2 linked regions of the Macaca mulatta genome follow. The protein of the gene in region 1 interacts with the protein of each later gene in a pairwise test. Links are inferred from orthologs where the notes say so. Each region holds a gene or a part of one and is shown on either strand. Other genes may lie near its edges.

Region 1 (7,233 bases):
GAAAAAAAAAACAAGTCTCTTCCCCCTTGTTTGTAGTCACTGACCCAATTATTTAGTGCATAGTACTTCGCTTCTGAAGCAAGATTCATGCCCTTTGCTCTCTATGGTTCCTCTTAACCACAGCTTTCTCGCTGGCTGGTCTCTCAAGAAGGAAAAGCAGCAGACACCTACCTATGGCAAAGATGGCAGCCTGTGCAAAGTCCGCAGACACATCCGTGCAGTACCCTCGAAGCTCCTCTAGCACCTGCTGCACATTCTCATCGTTCACCAGCTCACACAGCACCTCCACTTTCTGTAGTTTGATGTAGTGGGGCTCCGAGTAGGAGCAAAAAAACTTTTTGTAGTGGCTGCTAAAGTGACCTGGCAAACTATGCAAGATCTGGCGTACATGACAAAGAGCAACAAAACAGAGCTCACGGCTCTCCGAAGAACAGGCAGCTAGCAAAGGTCCCTTGACCCGCACAAGCACATCTGTTTGTACATGGGGAAACTTTTTTGCCAAGATCAGAAAAAGTTTGGTAGCTCCCATCACCACACCTGGGCTACTGCTCTTGAGAAAACTATCCAACAGATTGAGAATGTCAAATAGTTCTTCCTCACTGCGGGGTTGGTAGCGTAGCAGAAAGTTCAATACCTCAGCCTGGCCCCATTGGTCCAGTTTTGACATTCTATCCAAAAAAGAAAACAAAAGAGCTATTTTAGCAACAAAATTAGGGCCATTTCCATGCCACTGTCATATGACCAGTTGGTTGTTCATCATAACAAAGGGAGAATTCTTAAAAATAGGCTGTGCCATAATTAAATCATTCTTTTCATGTACTATTTAAAGTTTATGCCGGGCGCGGTGGCTCAAGCCTGTAATCCCAGCACTTTGGGAGGCCGAGACGGGCGGATCACGAGGTCAGGAGATCGAGACCATCCTGGCTAACACGGTGAAACCCCGTCTCTACTAAAAAATACAAAAAACTAGCCAGGCGAGGTGGCGGGCGCCTGTAGTCCCAGCTACTCGGGAGGCTGAGGCAGGAGAATGGTCTAAACCCGGGAGGCGGAGCTTGCAGTGAGCTGAGATCCGGCCACTGCACCCCAGCCTGGGCGACAGAGCAAGACTCTGTCTCAAAAAAAAAAAAAAAAAAAAAAAGTTTACACAAAAAAGGCTTAAAATTCCAAGATGAGCTGTTAATACAAATGCACACTCACCTAAGACCAAAGACATGATCAGCATACACTGGGTCCAGGTTCCCTACATTTTAAGACACTATAAATGGCTTACTTTGGGGGACATAATGACTAGAGAAGGGCAGAACCTATTCCCACAGTATATTTCTATTTCCCTATATCAATAAGGGAAACTAAGGCAAATAAAAGAAATTCTCTTAGTGAAATGTGAGGGAGTTAATAGTGGTTAACTGGCTGGGCACGGTGGCTCACGCCTGTAATCCCAGCACTTTCGGAGGCCAAGGTGGGCAGATCTCCTGAGGTCGGAAGTTTGGGACTAGCCTGACCAACAGGGAGAAACCCTGTCTCCGCTAAAAATACAAAATTAGCCGGGCATGGTGGTGCATGCCTATAATCCCAGCTACTCAGGAGGCTGAAGCAGGAGAACTGCTTAAAGCCAGGAGGCGGAGGTTGCGCTAAGCCAAGATAGTGCCGTTGCACTCTGGCTTGGACAACAAGAGCAACACTCTGTCTCAAATAATAATAATAATGGTTAACTTTCTTTTCTACTTCACATAAGTTGTTCAATACATCAACAAGATCCCACAAGGACGCAGATCTCATAATAAAAAGAGCACTGAGGCATCCAAACCGATTTAAGAGATGGTGAGCAATGGGCTTATTGATGACAACGCCTCCTTCCAGTTTCAGAATTTCCTCTAGAGACCTCAAGCAGTTCACAACTACAATTGGATCCTGGTCACGCAGCAAACTGTATAATTCATTTACCAGGGCACCATCTATAAAAAAGAACAAAGTTCTTAGATAAAAAAGAAAAGCTTCAGAGTAACAGGGATGTAGCCAGAGTAATAGCTCCAAGTAGACAAAGTTGAACTTCTCTGCTACAAAAATGACAAAGGCCATACTAAAGTGCAAGGCAAAAAAAAAAAACTGCCATGTCTAGACTGTTTTAAGCAGCTAATACAAAGGATCTCACTGGGGCCCGAGAGAAAGGACTTCTCATCTCCAGAAGATACCAAGCCCTGCATCCTACTTAAAGAGATATGTACAGAACTGGGGCCACATTATTATTTTCTACCAAAGCTACATAATCTTTTATAAAGTTATACATAATAGAGGCACATTGACCATGATGGATTACACTGAACTTACCTACTTCAGAGTCTCCATGAAGATTATGCATCTTGGCACATCCAAGGACTGCCACTCTCCTGACATACGAAGCCTTATCCCGCAGACCATTGAGAATAGGCTGTTGTATATACTCCTGCACACCAGGCATCCTAAGCAACACATCCTGGAGTCAGCCAGATTCGGAAATACTAATTTTGACATATATCAAACCCTGTTCACCTAACAGAGTTTAGTAGATGCTACACCCATCAGATCATGAACAATTGCAGAAAGCCTCTATCAAGCTTAAAAAGCCATAATTTGATGTTTTTGTTTTTCTCTTGTTTTTTTCAAGATGGGGTCTCACTTTGTCACCCAGGCTGCAGTGCAGTGGCCCAATCATAGGACACCGCTGCCTCTAATTCCTGGGCCCAAGCCATCCTCCTGCCTCAGCCTTGCTAGCTAGTAGCTGAGACTACAGGTGCGTGTCACTATGCCCATTTAATTTTTTGTAGATACAGGGTCTCACCATCTTGCCCAGCTGGTCTCGAATTCCTGAGCTCAAGCAGTCTTCCTGTCTCAGCCTCCCAAAGTGCTGGGACTACAGGCATGAGCCACTGTGCCCAGCCTAATTTGACTTTTCATTTGGAATAATGATGCACAGGCAGCAAAAAAATATATACACATAATTGTTTAGGAATATCTAACCAAAATTGAGGACTATTTTACTTAGAGTGAGAATCAAAAACTCCCTGTAATAAAATTATATGATACAGGTTATTAAGCCAAAGCAGTGGCTGAAAATCTAAGTTCAGGGTACAATAATGTTTTCCCCAGTATTAAGGAGCTCAAATAAATTATCCTCTTTAAAAACCTACTGCGTGATCTCTTGAAGTCATCAGCCATTTAGGACCAGACAGAGAAGACGGTACTCACCTGAGGCTACACATGCTCCGTAACGCCAGCCCTCGCACCATTGGATTGGGGTCTGAGCAGTCTTTGCACAGCGTATTGATGGCCAGGAGAGCCAGATCTGGTTTCAGGGGAGCATATGTGCACATGTACAGATAAACCAACTTCTTCTGGACAATATCTACAGTGGCACTGGCCTTCACCATTTCCATAAAAACACCAGACATGTCCAAACCCTGAGTCATGTACCTGAAACCAACGCACATGACAGAAAGAAGTAAAATGCAAAATCCCCAACTAACAATGGAGGGAGTTTTACTTACATATCTCCTGGTTACCCAACTAGCTTGTGATCTCTTAAGAGGGTAGCAGCCAGGATTACCTTGTCTATTATATCACACAGTACTTCATACCATAGGCCTGCAATAAACATTCTTCTTCTATTCATTCAACAAACACTTATTATTATTTTTGAGATGGAGTCTTGCTCTGTTACCCAGGCTAGAGTGCAGTGGCACAATCTCGGCTCATTACAACTTCCGCCTCCCAGGTTCAAGTGATTCTCCTGCCTCAGCCTCCTGAGTAGCTGGGACCACAGGTGCGTGCCACCATGCTTGGCTAAATTTTTGTATTTTTAGTAGAGACGGGGTTTTGCCATGTTGACCAGGCTGGTCTCGAACTCCTGACTGCAGGTGATGCACCCGTCTTGGCCTCCCAAAGTGCTGGGATTACAGGCGTGAGCCACCGTGCCCAGCCTCAACAGACACTTATTGAATCCCTAGTACTTTGGTGAAATTCAACTTTTACATCCAGGGACATGCTCTTGGGACATAATCTTGAAGAAGGCGTGGTCTCAGACCTCTAGGAACTTCAAATCTATTAATGAGCCAGATAAAAATACCGTTAATTATGGTATGATTGATAAGTATTTAAATAGAAGTATTGTACAAGGCGCAGAGGGGATTCAGAGGTCTAACACCGGCAGGAAGTCAGAAAATGTTTCTTCACAGAGGAAGTAACACTTTACCGGAATGAGCAGGAGCTCACTAGGCAGATGTAATCGATGTAACAGAAGGTATGAGGTATGTAGACATGAGCAGGAGTGGCATACATTTTTTTGAGTCTGTAGGTAGTTGAATTAACAGCTTGTTCCTTGGGTGCTGTGGTAAGTTTGGACTTCATTGTTTCTCAAACTGGTCGCCTACTGGAATCAGCTGAGATGTTTATTAAAAATACAGATTCCTGGGTTCCCTCCTACCTTACTGAAATCAGAATCAATCCCTGGACTGGATGACAAAAAGCACCCCCAGGGATTTTTGTGCACCGTAAAGTTTGTGAACCATAGCTGTAGGCAAGAGTTATATGTTCAGATTTGTATAATGGAAAAATTCTGTCTCAAATGAGGCAAGGTGGCCTACTAGTAAGCTGCTGCAATTGCTTTGGTGATGAAGGCCTGGACCAGAGCAACAACGCCAATAAACAAGAGAGGGTGGATATTTAGAATTATGAATTCAAACCATCTGACATGAGAAGTGGGGATCGGGTGTCCTCAAGGTTGGCTCCCACGCATAGTCGCTGCTGGTGGCATTCATCAACACAAATGTAAGCCGAAGAACAGGTTTGAGGAAGACGGAAGAATGTCCGTGCTATTTCGGACATACTTTTGATAAACCATGCAAGTGGAAATGCCAAGCAGGCAGTGGGATACGTGGGTCTGAAGCTAAAAAAAAGAAGTCTGTACTAGCTATATTATAGATCCAGGAGTTAGCAGTAATTGTTCAAGCCTGTGATATGGAGGAAACTACCCAGGTAAGTAAAAGATGCTGCAGAGGAGAGACTGAGATGGTACTCCAAAGCAGCAGGACGAAGACCGAACCATATAATTGCCACGTGTGAAAGCTAATTTACCCTTTCAGAGAGACTGGGGCTAGTGAGCCCTGATGGGGATTGCAAAGGGAGCAAACAGCACGCGACGGGAGTTAGGTGATACCTAATCACTCGCTGGATGACATTCCGGTAGCGCAGCCTATCAGCTTGAATGTGAGGATTACACAAAGCCTTCTTCAGCTCCTTCACCACGTCCTCGGAGCCAAGGTACGGCATCTTCCTAACAGTCACAGGGCAGCTCCCACAGCTCCCACGGTAACTCGTGGGCTCCTTCTCGTCTTGATGTGGGAGCCTGAGTAAAGGAAATATGAGTCAGTGAAAATACTAAAGACGAAATCTCGCCTCAGGCTCGGCTTCCGTAGGGCCGGCACGCTGGCCCTGACACACTTCCACGCCCTCCGCGACCCCGCGAGCCCCACCCTGGGCTCTTCAGGCCCTACCCTCGCCCGGCAGGCCGTTCGCCCCGCCCACAGATCGCTCCCGCTAACACTAGGCCCTCCGCCGGATTTCCAGCGCCGCGTCCGACTGACCGCAGACCCCTCCCTCTCCAGTTCCAGCTTTTCTTGCGCCTTCAAGCCGTTCTCATCGCAGATAGGCCCAATCTTCCTTTCTGCGGAAGTCCCGCCCCCTTGTCAGGAGACCAAACAGAAGCGCGCTGCCGGTCTCCCAGCGAGCGAGGGCTGAGCTTGGTCCCGACTCCGACCTTAGGATGCCCTTCCCTCAACCTCTCACCCTCCAGGCGCAGTCGCGCGGCTCCCTCTGGTGGAGCTGCGGCGGGCAATCGGAAATCGGCTACTTCGGCCTGTCTCCTCCCAGCAGCGCGCGCTTTGAGTGCCCGGCTTGGCCTCAGCTCCCGCGCGGTTGGGAGTGTCGAGCGCCCTCCGCTATTTGGGCTCCCGCCGGCACGGTCACTTCCTTTTTCTGCCCACTCTAGTGACTTATTCCTCTGCTGGGCTCTTTCCCTTAGGGTATCTGGCCCTGTTCTTGCCCCAGCATGACTTTTATCGGGGCGCCGTTGTGGAAGCCTCACGCAGGAGCCCTGCCCCCGCGGAGAAGATCCCACTGGTGACTACAACCCTGCCACCATGAATGGGGTCCTGATCCCCCACACGCCCATTGCAGTGGACTTCTGGAGCCTGCGTCGGGCTGGCACCGCACGGCTCTTCTTCTTGTCTCACATGCACTCGGACCACACCGTGGGCCTGTCTAGCACCTGGGCCCGGCCCCTCTACTGCTCCCCGATTACAGCCCACCTCTTGCATCGTCACCTACAGGTATGGGGCTGGAGTCAGTCTCCAAGAGGTGGTCCAGGCATCTGGGTTGGGACTTCGACCTGTCATTCTTTGAGTCATAGAATGGGGGCCACCAAGACTGATGCGGAAGTTGTTTGAACCCAAAAATGCATCTTTAACTCAGAATAGGAACGTGGTTTCCAAGTGACCAACTTGAGATATTTAGCTATAAGTTGAGGAGATATTTTAGTCCAGCCAAGGAAACTATTACTACCTTTATACATAAGCTAGGCTGATGTTTCCCAAACTTGCTTTTTTTTTTTTTTTTTTCCTGATACGGAGTCTCGCTCTTGTTGCTGCCAGGCTGGAGTGCGGTGGCACGATCTCGGCTCACTATAACCTCCGCCTCCCGGGTTCAAGAGATTCTCCTGTCTCAGCCTCCTGAGTAGCTGAGATTACAGGCGCACGCCACCACGCCCAGCTAATTTTTTGTATTTTTCGTAGAGATGGGGTTTCACCATGTTGGCCAGGCTGTTCTCAAACTCCTGACCTTAAGTGATCCGCCCGCCTCAGCCTCCCCAAGTGCTGGGATTACAAACGTGAGCCACCACGCCCCGCCTAAATATGCCTTATCTTAAGAATCCACCTAACGTGCTGGGTGGTTCTCCAGCTCTCTCCCCACCCCACCCTTAAGTCTCCAAGATATTAAGATCAGGAGTAAGTTTGAAAATTGCTGACTAGACTGTTTGCTGAACTCTCCCCCGACCCCACCCAGACGGAGTGTCCCTCTGTTGCCCAGGCTGGAGGGCACTCCAGTTCACTGCAAGCTCCGCCTCCCGGGTTCACGCCATTCTCCTGCCTCAGCCTCCCGAGTACCTGGTACTACAGGTGCCCGCCACCTTTTTTTTTTATT
Region 2 (10,434 bases), on another chromosome or scaffold:
CCACAGGAGTCATGTTGACCTATTTTAAGTTTGAGATCTCCATTTGTTTATTCAAATGGTTGTATCTTATGTCTGGGGTTTGGGCTGCAGATAAAAATGTGGAAGTCATCAGTGATGCTATTTAGAGAATCTGTGACGTCTGGAGAGAACAGGAAGCCCAGAGTGTACTTGGGCAGGCTGCTATCTTGGGAGAGCATGTGGGATTAGATCCTTAGGTTTGGGTTTAGGGGAGCCACTGTGGGGGTAGTGTGAAAATATCCGGGTTGGAAACTTCTGAGCGTTCACCAGGAGCCAGAGGAAATATCTGGCTCTTCATGAAGTTGGTATCTTGAAAAAAACTGATGGTCTACTAACTCCAACCAGTCTCCCTATAAGTCACCCCAGCAAAGAGATCCAGGGTAGCCCTGTCCCAAAACACACACACACACCCTACCTACCTACTTGGTAAAGGTAGTGGTTCCCAGGATCGAAATTTCTGCTTCCAGACTCAGAGTAGGTTGAATGTCTTATTAGACCAGGGGTTGGCAAACTTCTCCTGCAAAGGGCTAGATGGTAACTATTTTAAGTTTTGGAAACCATAAGATCTCTGATGCAACTATGCAGATCTGCTGTTCTAGGCAAAAGTAGCCATCAACAATACATAAGTGAATGAGTATAAAACTGTGTTCAAATAAAATTTTATTTGCAAAATCAGGCAGCAGGCTAGAGTTGGCCATAGTTTGCAGACCCCTGTCTTAGGCTGTAAATTCTGTTGCACGTGACAGAAACCCAGAATAATGATGGCTTAAATTAGAAGTTTCTTTCTTTCTTAGATAGCAATATGGAAGTGGGCTGGTATGGTGGCTGTGCTCCCTGAAATTGACCAGAGACCCAGGCTCCTGCTGTCTTGTTGCTCTGCCATCCCATGTGTCGTTCTTGTCCTTATGGTCTGAGATGGCTGGATACTATGTCTGTATTACAGTTAGGAAGGTGGAAAAAAGGTATGTCCCTTTCTTTTCTTTTTTTTAAAAAAGAGTCTCACTCTGTCACCCAGGCTGAAGTGCAGTGGCATGATCTTGACTCACTGCAGCCTGTCTCCCAAATTCAAGCAATTCTCCTGCCTCAGCCTCCCAAGTAGCTGGGGTTACAGGTGTATGCCACCACACCTGACTAATTTTTGTATTTTTAGTAGAGATGGGGTTTCACCATGTTGGCCAGGCTAGTCTCAAACTCCTGACCTCAGGTGATCCACCAGCCTCAGCCTCACAGAGTGCTGGGATTACAGGTGTAAGCCACTGTGCCCCGCCGTCCCTTTCTTAAGCTTGAGTGTTCTACCCAGGAATTTAGCCAGAATCAGTCACATGGCTACATCTAGCTGCGAAGGAATCTGGGAAATGTAGTCTTTTCAGCTACCATGTGCCTAGCTAAAAACTGAGAGACAGTGATCAGTCTACCACATCCACCTCACCTGGGCTTTAAAAACATCCCTCAACATAAACAGAGTCTATAAGTATTATATGCAGGGCATTGACCATTGTCTGCAAGTGCAGGGCAGGTAACTAAGGGGGTAAAACTGGCCTGATGGGACTCATCTCCAGTTGAGGATGACACCCACTGTTCCCCTCCAGCCTGTTGTAGCTTCTGCCCTGCCCCTGCTGACAATGTCACCCTAGGTTGGGCCTTTCAAGAGAGCTGAAAATAGGATCTTAATGGGAAATCTCCCAGTGTTGGCCAAATAAAATCCGAAACAGAAGGTATCTCTGTTTGATTCCAAACCAGTTTCCCCACAAAGCAAGGCCAACTCTGGCCTGAGTTCCCCCACCTGCCCACACCCTTATGTTCTCTGGAAATTCCCACTCAAAAGCCAGAGCTCCCTGTTTAGACATTTTAATATGGATGTTTTCTGTTTTTAGATACTATTCCTGTTAGCTTATTCATACCATTTCACCTACACATATGAAAAAATATTTCATGACCAGAATGATATACAAAATTATTTAAATGAGACATAAATTATCGGGGGACTAGTGCCATCTAGTGCCATGGCCCCTCTGAGTGAGGTTGGCAGGGGGTGGGAAAGAGACACAAGGACTCCAATTGCCACCCCACTCAATTGGGGTCCAGCTCCCAACTGTGCTGCCCCATCCCCAAAAGCCCAAGTTGCTCCACATCTGGAACTCATCTGGTGGCATTACAGGCCAGCAACACCTCACCTTCCCTGCCCCCATTCAGGCAAAGGTCCGGGGCATTTTGCTTCCATTGCCCATGGCATCCATCTGGGAAGAATGAAGGGTGATGACACAGTCTGCAGCTAGGTGTTTAACTGGGAATAAGGGAGACACAAACCATTTCTCTCCCGCACTCCATTCCCATTTTTTTTTTTAACGAAAGATCTCGTTATTGTCTGATTTCACTGTCTCACGAAGGCCCTGTGTCCTCCAAAGACTGAAGCTCTAAATGAGAATCTTCTGGGTCCTCTTTATTAGGAGCCCTCTGCCTTCCCAGGGGAGGGAAGCAAATCCCTCAGGGCCCCCGGAATTCCTGCACCCCGTATCATGGGTGAGTCCTACTGGCCACAGAGCCACCTGTCACCACGGAGACGCTTAAGCTGCACTCAGAGCTCCCCTCGGGCATGCCGAATGTAGTGTTGATGCAGCCCTGCTTCCTGAGCAAAGTCCTGACCGCACTCTGTACAGGCGAAGGTGCCAGGAGGGGCACGGGCCTCATGCATCTGGCGGTGCCGCCTCAGAGAAGCAGCCTGCCCAAAGGTCTTGCCACAGTCAGGACAAGGGAAGGTGGGCTGGGCAGTAGTGGTTGCAACCAGTGGGGTGGGCTTGGCGGCTGGACCGTGGCTGCGCTGGTGGGTGATTAAGGCTTTGGAGGAGGGGAAGGAGCGGGCGCAGGTGAAGCAGATGAAGAGGACCCCCTGCAGCTTCTGGGCCACGAAGTCCGCTGGGTGCTCCCGCTTCATGTGACGCTCCTGGAACTTGGAATCTGCGAAGGTGATGAGGCAGCGGGTGCACTTCGGGGCCCCCAGGTGGCCTGAGAGATGTGCGGAGAGGTCAGGGGAGGCCGGCAGGAGTCTCCAGGACCTCTCCTGAACCCCAGAATCATACCAACAATTAACATTGAGTGTGCTATGTGCTCGGTTCTATGCTAATGCTGGACAACCAAACAGGAGAACTGTTCTTGGACCTATTTTATGGATGAGCAAACTGAGATTCAAAGAGATTAGGCAAGTTGCCCATAGTCAATGAGGCTAGGAAAGGAAATGGTGGAGTCAGGGTTGGAACCCAGAGAGTCAGCCTGCCCAACAGAGGGGTATGGTGATTACAGCACAGCCTTTGGAGCCAGACTGCCTGGGATTGAATCTCAGCTCCACCACTTCCTAGGCAATTACACCAGTTTCCTTATCTGGAAAATGGGCTAATAACAGTATCTACTCCATAGGACTGTTGGAAGGAATAAATGAATTGCTGTACAGTCATTTGCAATTATGACTAATGATAACAGAGAAATCCAGCCCGACATCCAGGATATGGCCTGGTACTCACAGCTAGACCTTGGTGTTCTGTTGAACATAAATTTTCACAAAATATCAAGGACAGACAAGGTCATGCTGTGACTAGAATGAATCAAGACAAGACTATATCATAATAATGTCTGAGCACAGACAAAATATGAATGCTGTCCAAGCAGAAAAATGACCAAACATCCTCCTATCCTGGCTCATGTGAATGTCTGCTGCTACTTTATCAGTCAGAGCTTGAGCCTTGCCTTCTTCCTTCCTCCTTCTGGATAAGATTTATTACGATAGCCAATCATAGAATTGCCCCTGCTTCCTGGTAGCATCCAATCCACAGCAAAACAATTTTGCTCGCACATTCCCCAAAATCACCACCCACAAGCCCAAATCCTATGTCGTTTTTACCACTCTTAGTGAGACACCCCACAGTTCCCCCATGGTGTGTGTTCTTCATTGCAGCGAGAAATAAACCCAACGTGTTCAACTGCACGTGTGTTTCCGGTAATCTCAGGCTCAAGGGCATTGAGACTACAGCTCTTGTTACAAATACCTCTCTCTGCCTCAGTTCCCAGTTTAAAGGGCCTATTATTAGAAGGACTGAATGAGATAATGAATGTTAAAATCGTTCATAATATGAGAATAAGTACACCTAGCTCATAATAAAACAGCAGGAGGTGTTGCTATTACATGGCAAACTGGCTACCATCATTAACCCCTGGCTTTCCCCTTTGCTGCAGTTAATCCCATAACCACCCTGTGAGGTGGATAGTGCCACCCTCTTTTGACAGTCAGGGAAACCAAGGCTCAAGTTACACTGAAAGTCTAGGACACAGGTGGGACCAGAATCTTGGGGCTTTTCTCCCAATAGAACCATTCCCAGCCACGTCTCCAACCCAAGCCTCTCTTGGAAGCCACCCTATCCCTCTGAATGCATAAGCGTTGCAATCCTGCTTATGTGGCCAGAGGAGGGTGAGTACTCTGGCCACATAAGCCGGTGTGAGGAGATGCACTTCCTGCTAGGGCAGCTCAGGGACCATTACAGCCCCTTCTCAACAGGCAAAACTCTGTGGCGCCTTGGACACTGAAGTGCCACAGAGATCTTCTTAGCATCAGCTCCTGCACCCCGCCCTCCTCTAGCCAGCCAGCCATGTGTACTCACAGATGTTGCCTCCTGGGCTCTGGGGACTTCTCTCCTTGGGTGAATCCTGCTGCTTCATGTTCTCTTCAGAGTTCGGGTCCTCCATGGTGCTGGGACCCTTCTAGTCAGGAGAGGAGCGTGCATGAGTGAAGCTGTTCATCTGTTACCAGTCTTAGAGGGCACCCTAAGTCTATGACCTTTGACATCGCCATAGGCTCTCCTTGCCTGCTTTTGACCCTTACGACATACTATCTCCTTGAACTCTAATTGATGGAGTTCTTGCTAAGAGAAGCTTCAAACCTCCCAAAAGACTTCCTGGGTTTGGGACTCAAGAGTCTTTTCACTGGTGTGACCTATGACCTGCTGCATCAAACTAACTCCCTGAACTCAGCGTGGGAGTCTTGATCTTTGACACCAGCGTCATCCCAGTCTCAAGTATCTTGGGGCAGGTAGTGATACCCACCCTTTATTCCAGTTCTTCCCGGGAAACATCCTCTGACATCCTGTGATTTTTGTTCCGCCCAGAGCCCCCGCCTCCCACGCGCACTAGCAGCTGCTATCCCGCTACCCTCAAGCGCTGCCTACAGGTTCCTGCTCCCAGGCCTCAGTTTTCCTCCGTACAGCAGAGGGCTGCCTTTCGCTGCGCCTGTCAGTCGCTAGCTACAGCCCCGCCACCCAGAGAGAAGTGGGATAGCCCACTCAGTCTCAGGGCCCCCGTGGTTTCCGCGCCCTTTTGCCAGATGAGCCTCTCGGAGCCGAGATCCCGGATTTGGCATCCGGCAGTAGTATAGTCGCACCAGTCCGGTCCTCAAAATAACGGGAGGGGTCCTTCTCTGCACTATGGTGCGTTATGATGACGTTCACCCTCCCGCGGCGTAGGTACCGAAGCTTTTTGCGCAAGTCTGGGTAGGTGCTCGTGGTGCGCAGGCGCGTTGACTCCTTCATTGTTCGAGGCCCCGAGGCCGCCGAACAGGGGCGTGAGCACTTCGGCCGTTCTGCGCAGGCGCTGCGAAGGGCTAGGTCTCTGCGGTAGCGCTTCCAAGACACACCCCCTTGGAAGAGGGAGTGACGTCAGGTTAAAGCTACTGGGACGCGTCCCGGCATCTTTAAATCACCGCGCCCTGGCCTCTTCGGCCTCCGTCCGCTGCGGCCGAGGGGTCGGGCTTCTCAGTTGCTGACCCACCGCCACCGACTGCGCTCATCCCGTGGGTCTGCTTTTTGCTCGGTTTGTGATGTGGAAGGGGGAAGGGGAAGGATAAAAATAACAATGCGTCCGAGGGAGGAGGGACTGGAAGCCAGATTTCTGAGGTTTTATTTTTATTTATTTATTTTTGAGAGAGTGTCTTGCTCTGTCGCCTGGGCTGGAGTGCGGTGGTGTGATCACTGCCCACTGCAGCCTGCAACTCCTGGGCTCAAGCGATCCTACCGCCGCAGCCTTCCGGGTAGCTGGGGCTACCGGCGCACGCCACCATGGCCCGGCTAAATTTTATTTTTTGTGGAGACGGAGACTCTACCAGAGAGTCCCACATGTTGGCCAGGCTGGTCTCGAATTCCTGGCCTCAAGCGATCCTCCCGCCTCGGCCTCCCAAAGCACTGGGATTACAGGCATGAGCCACCGCGCCTGATTTCAGAGTTTTTGAAGCAGAAAGGGAAACGTTTCCATCTAGAAAGAGGGCGGACAGACAGGGCGCCTGGAATCCCTGGGGAATAGGGTCTGGGCTCTGGATTTTTTAGGTCCTGGAGAGAGACACTCAAGAACCGAAGGGGACCGGGGGGAGGACTGAGGCCTTTGTTCCGAGTGGGGCGGCTAGGAAAGGAAAAGGCTAGGTGCTCCCTGACCCAGGTCTTCTCCACCCGTTGCTTTCCAGCCATGCCTCCGCCGCAGGGTGACGTGACCGCCTTGTTCCTGGGGCCTCCTGGCTTGGGGAAGTCCGCGCTGATCGCGGCGCTGTGCGACAAGGATGTGGAGACGCTCGAGGCCCCCGAGGGACGGCCGGACTCCGGGGTTCCCAGCCTAAGAGCTGCGGGCCCAGGCCTTTTTCTGGGCGAGCTGAGCTGCCCACCTGCAACGCCGGGGCCCTGGGCGGCTGAAGCCAACGTGCTGGTACTGGTGCTGCCCGGACCCGAGGGGAACGGGGAACCCTTGGCTGCAGCCCTGGGAGAGGCAGCGCGGGCCGCCCTGGCCCGAGGGACCCCGCTACTGGCTGTGCGGAACCTCCGTCCTGGGGATTCACAGACTGCGGCCCAGGCCCGTGATCAGACAGCAGCTCTGCTGAACAGCGCGGGGTTGGGAGCTGCGGATCTGTTTGTGCTACCGGCGAACTGCGGCAGCAGCGACGGCTGCGAGGAGCTAGAGCGCCTCCGGGCGGCGCTGCAGAGCCAGGCAGAAGCGCTGCGGAGGTGAGTGCTTTCTGGCTTGGTCCCTTAGTTGAGACCCTGCACACCTAGGTCCTATTTGAGATCCATGAGATCCCTTCCCCAGTGAGTTTGGGGCAAAAGCTTAGCTCTATTATTATTATTTTTTTCCCAAGGGACAGGGTCTCGCTACGTTGACTAGGTTGAATTTGAACTCCTGGCCTTAAGCAATAATCCCGCCTCAGCTTCCCAAAGTGCTAGGATTACAGGCGTGAACCACCACACCCGGCCTTTTTTTTTTTTTGAGACAGGGTCTCACTCTATCGCCCAGGCTGGAGTGCAGTGCTGCTATCCTAGCTCACTGAGGGCCTCCACCTCCTGGACTCAAATGATCCTCCTGCCTCAGCCTCCAGAGTAGCTAATAGGACAGGCTGCAAAACAGGATCTCACTGTTTCCCCAGGCTGGTCTTAAATTCTTGGCCTCAAGCCATGCCCCCACCCAGGCTTCCCAAAGCCCTAGGATTAAAAGGGAAAATCTTAACACTTTATCTGCTGGGGCCCTGAGGCTCCTTTTTCTAGGCCCTGCCCCAAGCAAGGTGATCCGCCCTCCCTGGCCTCCCAAAGTGCTGGGATTATAGGCGTGAGGCACTTTGCCCAGCCCCCTGGAAGATTTTACCTGAAAACTCTAATCCTTGAGCCCTCCCCACCATCAGTTTGGTTTTCAAGTGACCTAAAGCCACACCAGCAATGAGGATCTTGGGGCATCCTCATCCACCTCCTTTCTCCAGCTCCCTCTCGTTTCTGTGCCCACTTGCTGGCTACCTCCTGAATTTGCTCTACCACCTGCCAGCCTCCTCATTTTACAGACTTTAAAATGAGGCTCAGAGAGGGACAGTCCCTTGTCCTAGTACACTATCATCTTTTTTCCTTAGCCTCACCTGGTGGGGAGTCACCTTAGCCACTCCCCCTTGGTAAGAACTAGTAGATGAAATTTCTCCCCTCACTGACCCTCCTTAGGCCCAGCCTCTGAAAAGAGTGCCTTGGCGACCTTGTCTGTCTCAAATAGTGCTGGACTTGTGTTTAGGCCACAATACAGTTGCGATTCTTTGTTCTAGGCCCCACCTTCTCTGAGTTTTGTCCCACCCAGCACAGCCGACCCTTGGAAAAGCCCCGCCCCCAAATACTGTATTCCATGGAAGTCTTAGCCCAATCCCCATTTTAGGCTAGAGTGGGAAACCTGCCCTTAAGTCCACCTGTTCAATAATCAAGACTCCATTATTGCTTGAAGCCCCGCCCATATCATCATGGCCCCTCCCCATCTGGTTTCTGTTTGCCTTGCCGTCAGTCTGGCCTTTCCCTTTCCTATCCCTGCCCCATTCTGGGATCATTAGGAAAGCTCCGCCCTTGTCATTCATAGCCCAGTCCATGTCACCCAGCCCCTCTTCTGCCTTTGACCCTGACCCTTCTTGTCCCCACAGGCTCCTGCCCCCGGCCCAGGATGGCTTCGAGGTGCTGGGTGCAGCAGAGCTGGAGGCTGTGCGTGAGGCCTTTGAGACCGGCGGCCTGGAGGCTGCGCTGTCGTGGGTGCGCTCAGGCCTGGAGCGCCTGGGCAGCGCACGGCTAGACTTGGCCGTGGCCGGCAAGGCTGACGTGGGCCTTGTGGTGGACATGCTGCTTGGATTGGATCCTGGCGACCCAGGTGCTGCGCCTGCTTCGGCGCCCACGGGGCCCACTCCCTTCCCGGCCCCAGAGCGCCCGAATGTGGTGCTCTGGACTGTGCCTCTGGGTCCCACGGGCACTGCCACCACCGCGGCCGCAGCCTCTCACCCAACGCACTACGACGCCCTCATCCTCGTCACCCCTGGGGCCCCCACTGAGAAGGACTGGGCCCAGGTCCAGGCCTTGGTGCTACCAGATGCGCCTCTTGTCTGCGTGCGCACAGACGGCGAGGGCGAGGATCCGGAGTATTTGGGAGAAGGAAAGATGGAGAAACCCAACGGCGAGAGCTTAAAGAACGCAGGCGGAGGGGGATTGGAGAATGCACTCAGTAAGGGAAGGGAGAAATGTAGCGCTGGATCGCAGAAAGCAGGCAGCGGGGAAGGTCCTGAGAAAGCTGGCAGCGAGGGTTTGCAGCAGGTTGTCGGCATGAAGAAATCAGGTGGTGGCGACTCAGAGCGGGCCGCCGTGTTAAGCCCGGAGGACGAGACGTGGGAGGTGTTGGAGGAGGCACCGCCGCCAGTGTTCCCCCTACGGCCTGGTGGACTCCCAGGGCTATGCGAATGGCTGCGGCAAGCGCTCCCCCCAGCCCAGGCAGGGGCGCTGCTGCTGGCACTGCCACCAGCATCTCCCAGCGCTGCCCGAACCAAGGCTGCGGCGTTGCGGGCCGGGGCGTGGAGGCCAGCTCTGCTGGCTAGTCTGGCAGCGGCGGCGGCACCACTCCCAGGGCTGGGCTGGGCATGCGACGTGGCACTTCTGCGGGGTCAGCTGGCGGAGTGGCGACGGGGCCTGGGACTGGAACCCGCGGCACTGGCTCGACGTGAGCGTGCCCTGGGCCTGGCTCCTGGGGAGCTGGCAGCGCGCGCTCATTTCCCAGGCCCGGTGACGCGCGCCGAGGTCGAAGCAAGGCTGGGCGCCTGGGCGGGCGAGGGCACTGCTGGGGGCGCAGCACTGGGTGCTCTCTCCTTCCTGTGGCCTGCGGGTGGCGCAGCGGCGACAGGTGGCCTGGGCTACCGAGCGGCTCACGGCGTACTGCTGCAGGCTCTGGATGAGATGCGGGCTGATGCTGAGGCTGTACTGGCACCCCCTGAGTCTGCCCAGTGAGAGGTGGGAGGGGGCTTGAGGGTCCAGACTGTGGCAGGGGATGCCTGGGCTTAATCCTGGGTGCTTGAAAGGGATGTGGACTCTGATTTCTAGCAGGGATGTGTGACTTCTCATCACCTGGATTCAGAGAGTCTGGGGGACAGGAATCCTAATTTCTTTTTTTTTTTTCTTTTTTTTTTTTTTTTTTGAAACGAAGTCTCTTGTTGCCCAGGCTGGAGTGCAATGGCGCGATCTCGGCTCACTGCAACCTCTCCCTCCCAGGTTCAAGCGATTCTCCTGCCTCAGCGTCCGGAGTAGCTGGATTTACAGGTGCCTGCCACCAAGCCTGGCTAATTTTTGTATTTTTAGTAGCCTGTTGGCCAGGCTGCCCTTGAATTCCTGACCTCAGGCGATCCACCCGCCCGGGCCTCCCAAAGTGCTAGGATTACAGGCGTGAGCCACCGTGCCCTGCCAGGAATCCTGATTTCTTTGGGAACCATGGTGCATGACATCCAGACCCTTCTGTCCTGAAGGAAGTTGGTGGCCCAGAGTCTAGCAGAGACTATGTCTTTGTCTCCTAGGGAGTAGAAACTGGAGTTACTGGATGTTTAGTCCTCCAGGGGAGGGGAGAAGTCCT

Evidence for each region.
Region 2: the proteins of AP4B1 (region 1) and ZNF576 interact in binary tests that used the Homo sapiens proteins (3 or more experiments, as listed by UniProt). The two-hybrid records come from large-scale screens. The link is inferred for Macaca mulatta from reciprocal best matches to the Homo sapiens genes AP4B1 and ZNF576.

The regions. Positions count from the first base shown.
Region 1 is NC_133406.1:126,344,742-126,351,974, reverse strand, and holds the start of AP4B1 (AP-4 complex subunit beta-1), read right to left. Parts: upstream 5,953-7,233; 5' UTR 5,821-5,952; exon of another isoform or gene 5,529-5,820; intron 5,381-5,528; 5' UTR 5,305-5,380; coding exon 5,192-5,304; intron 3,451-5,191; coding exon 3,226-3,450; intron 2,460-3,225; coding exon 2,329-2,459; intron 1,956-2,328; coding exon 1,808-1,955; intron 669-1,807; coding exon 172-668; intron 1-171. Other genes in the region: DCLRE1B (5' exonuclease Apollo), read left to right, coding at 6,174-6,362.
Region 2 is NC_133424.1:56,008,383-56,018,816, reverse strand, and holds ZNF576 (zinc finger protein 576), read right to left. Parts: upstream 5,371-10,434; 5' UTR 5,265-5,370; intron 5,234-5,264; exon of another isoform or gene 5,107-5,233; intron 4,765-5,106; exon of another isoform or gene 4,762-4,764; 5' UTR 4,750-4,761; coding exon 4,665-4,749; intron 3,022-4,664; coding exon 2,594-3,021; 3' UTR 1,440-2,593; downstream 1-1,439. Other genes in the region: IRGQ (immunity-related GTPase family Q protein), read left to right, coding at 6,514-7,043, 8,477-9,818. UniProt on the Homo sapiens protein: May be involved in transcriptional regulation.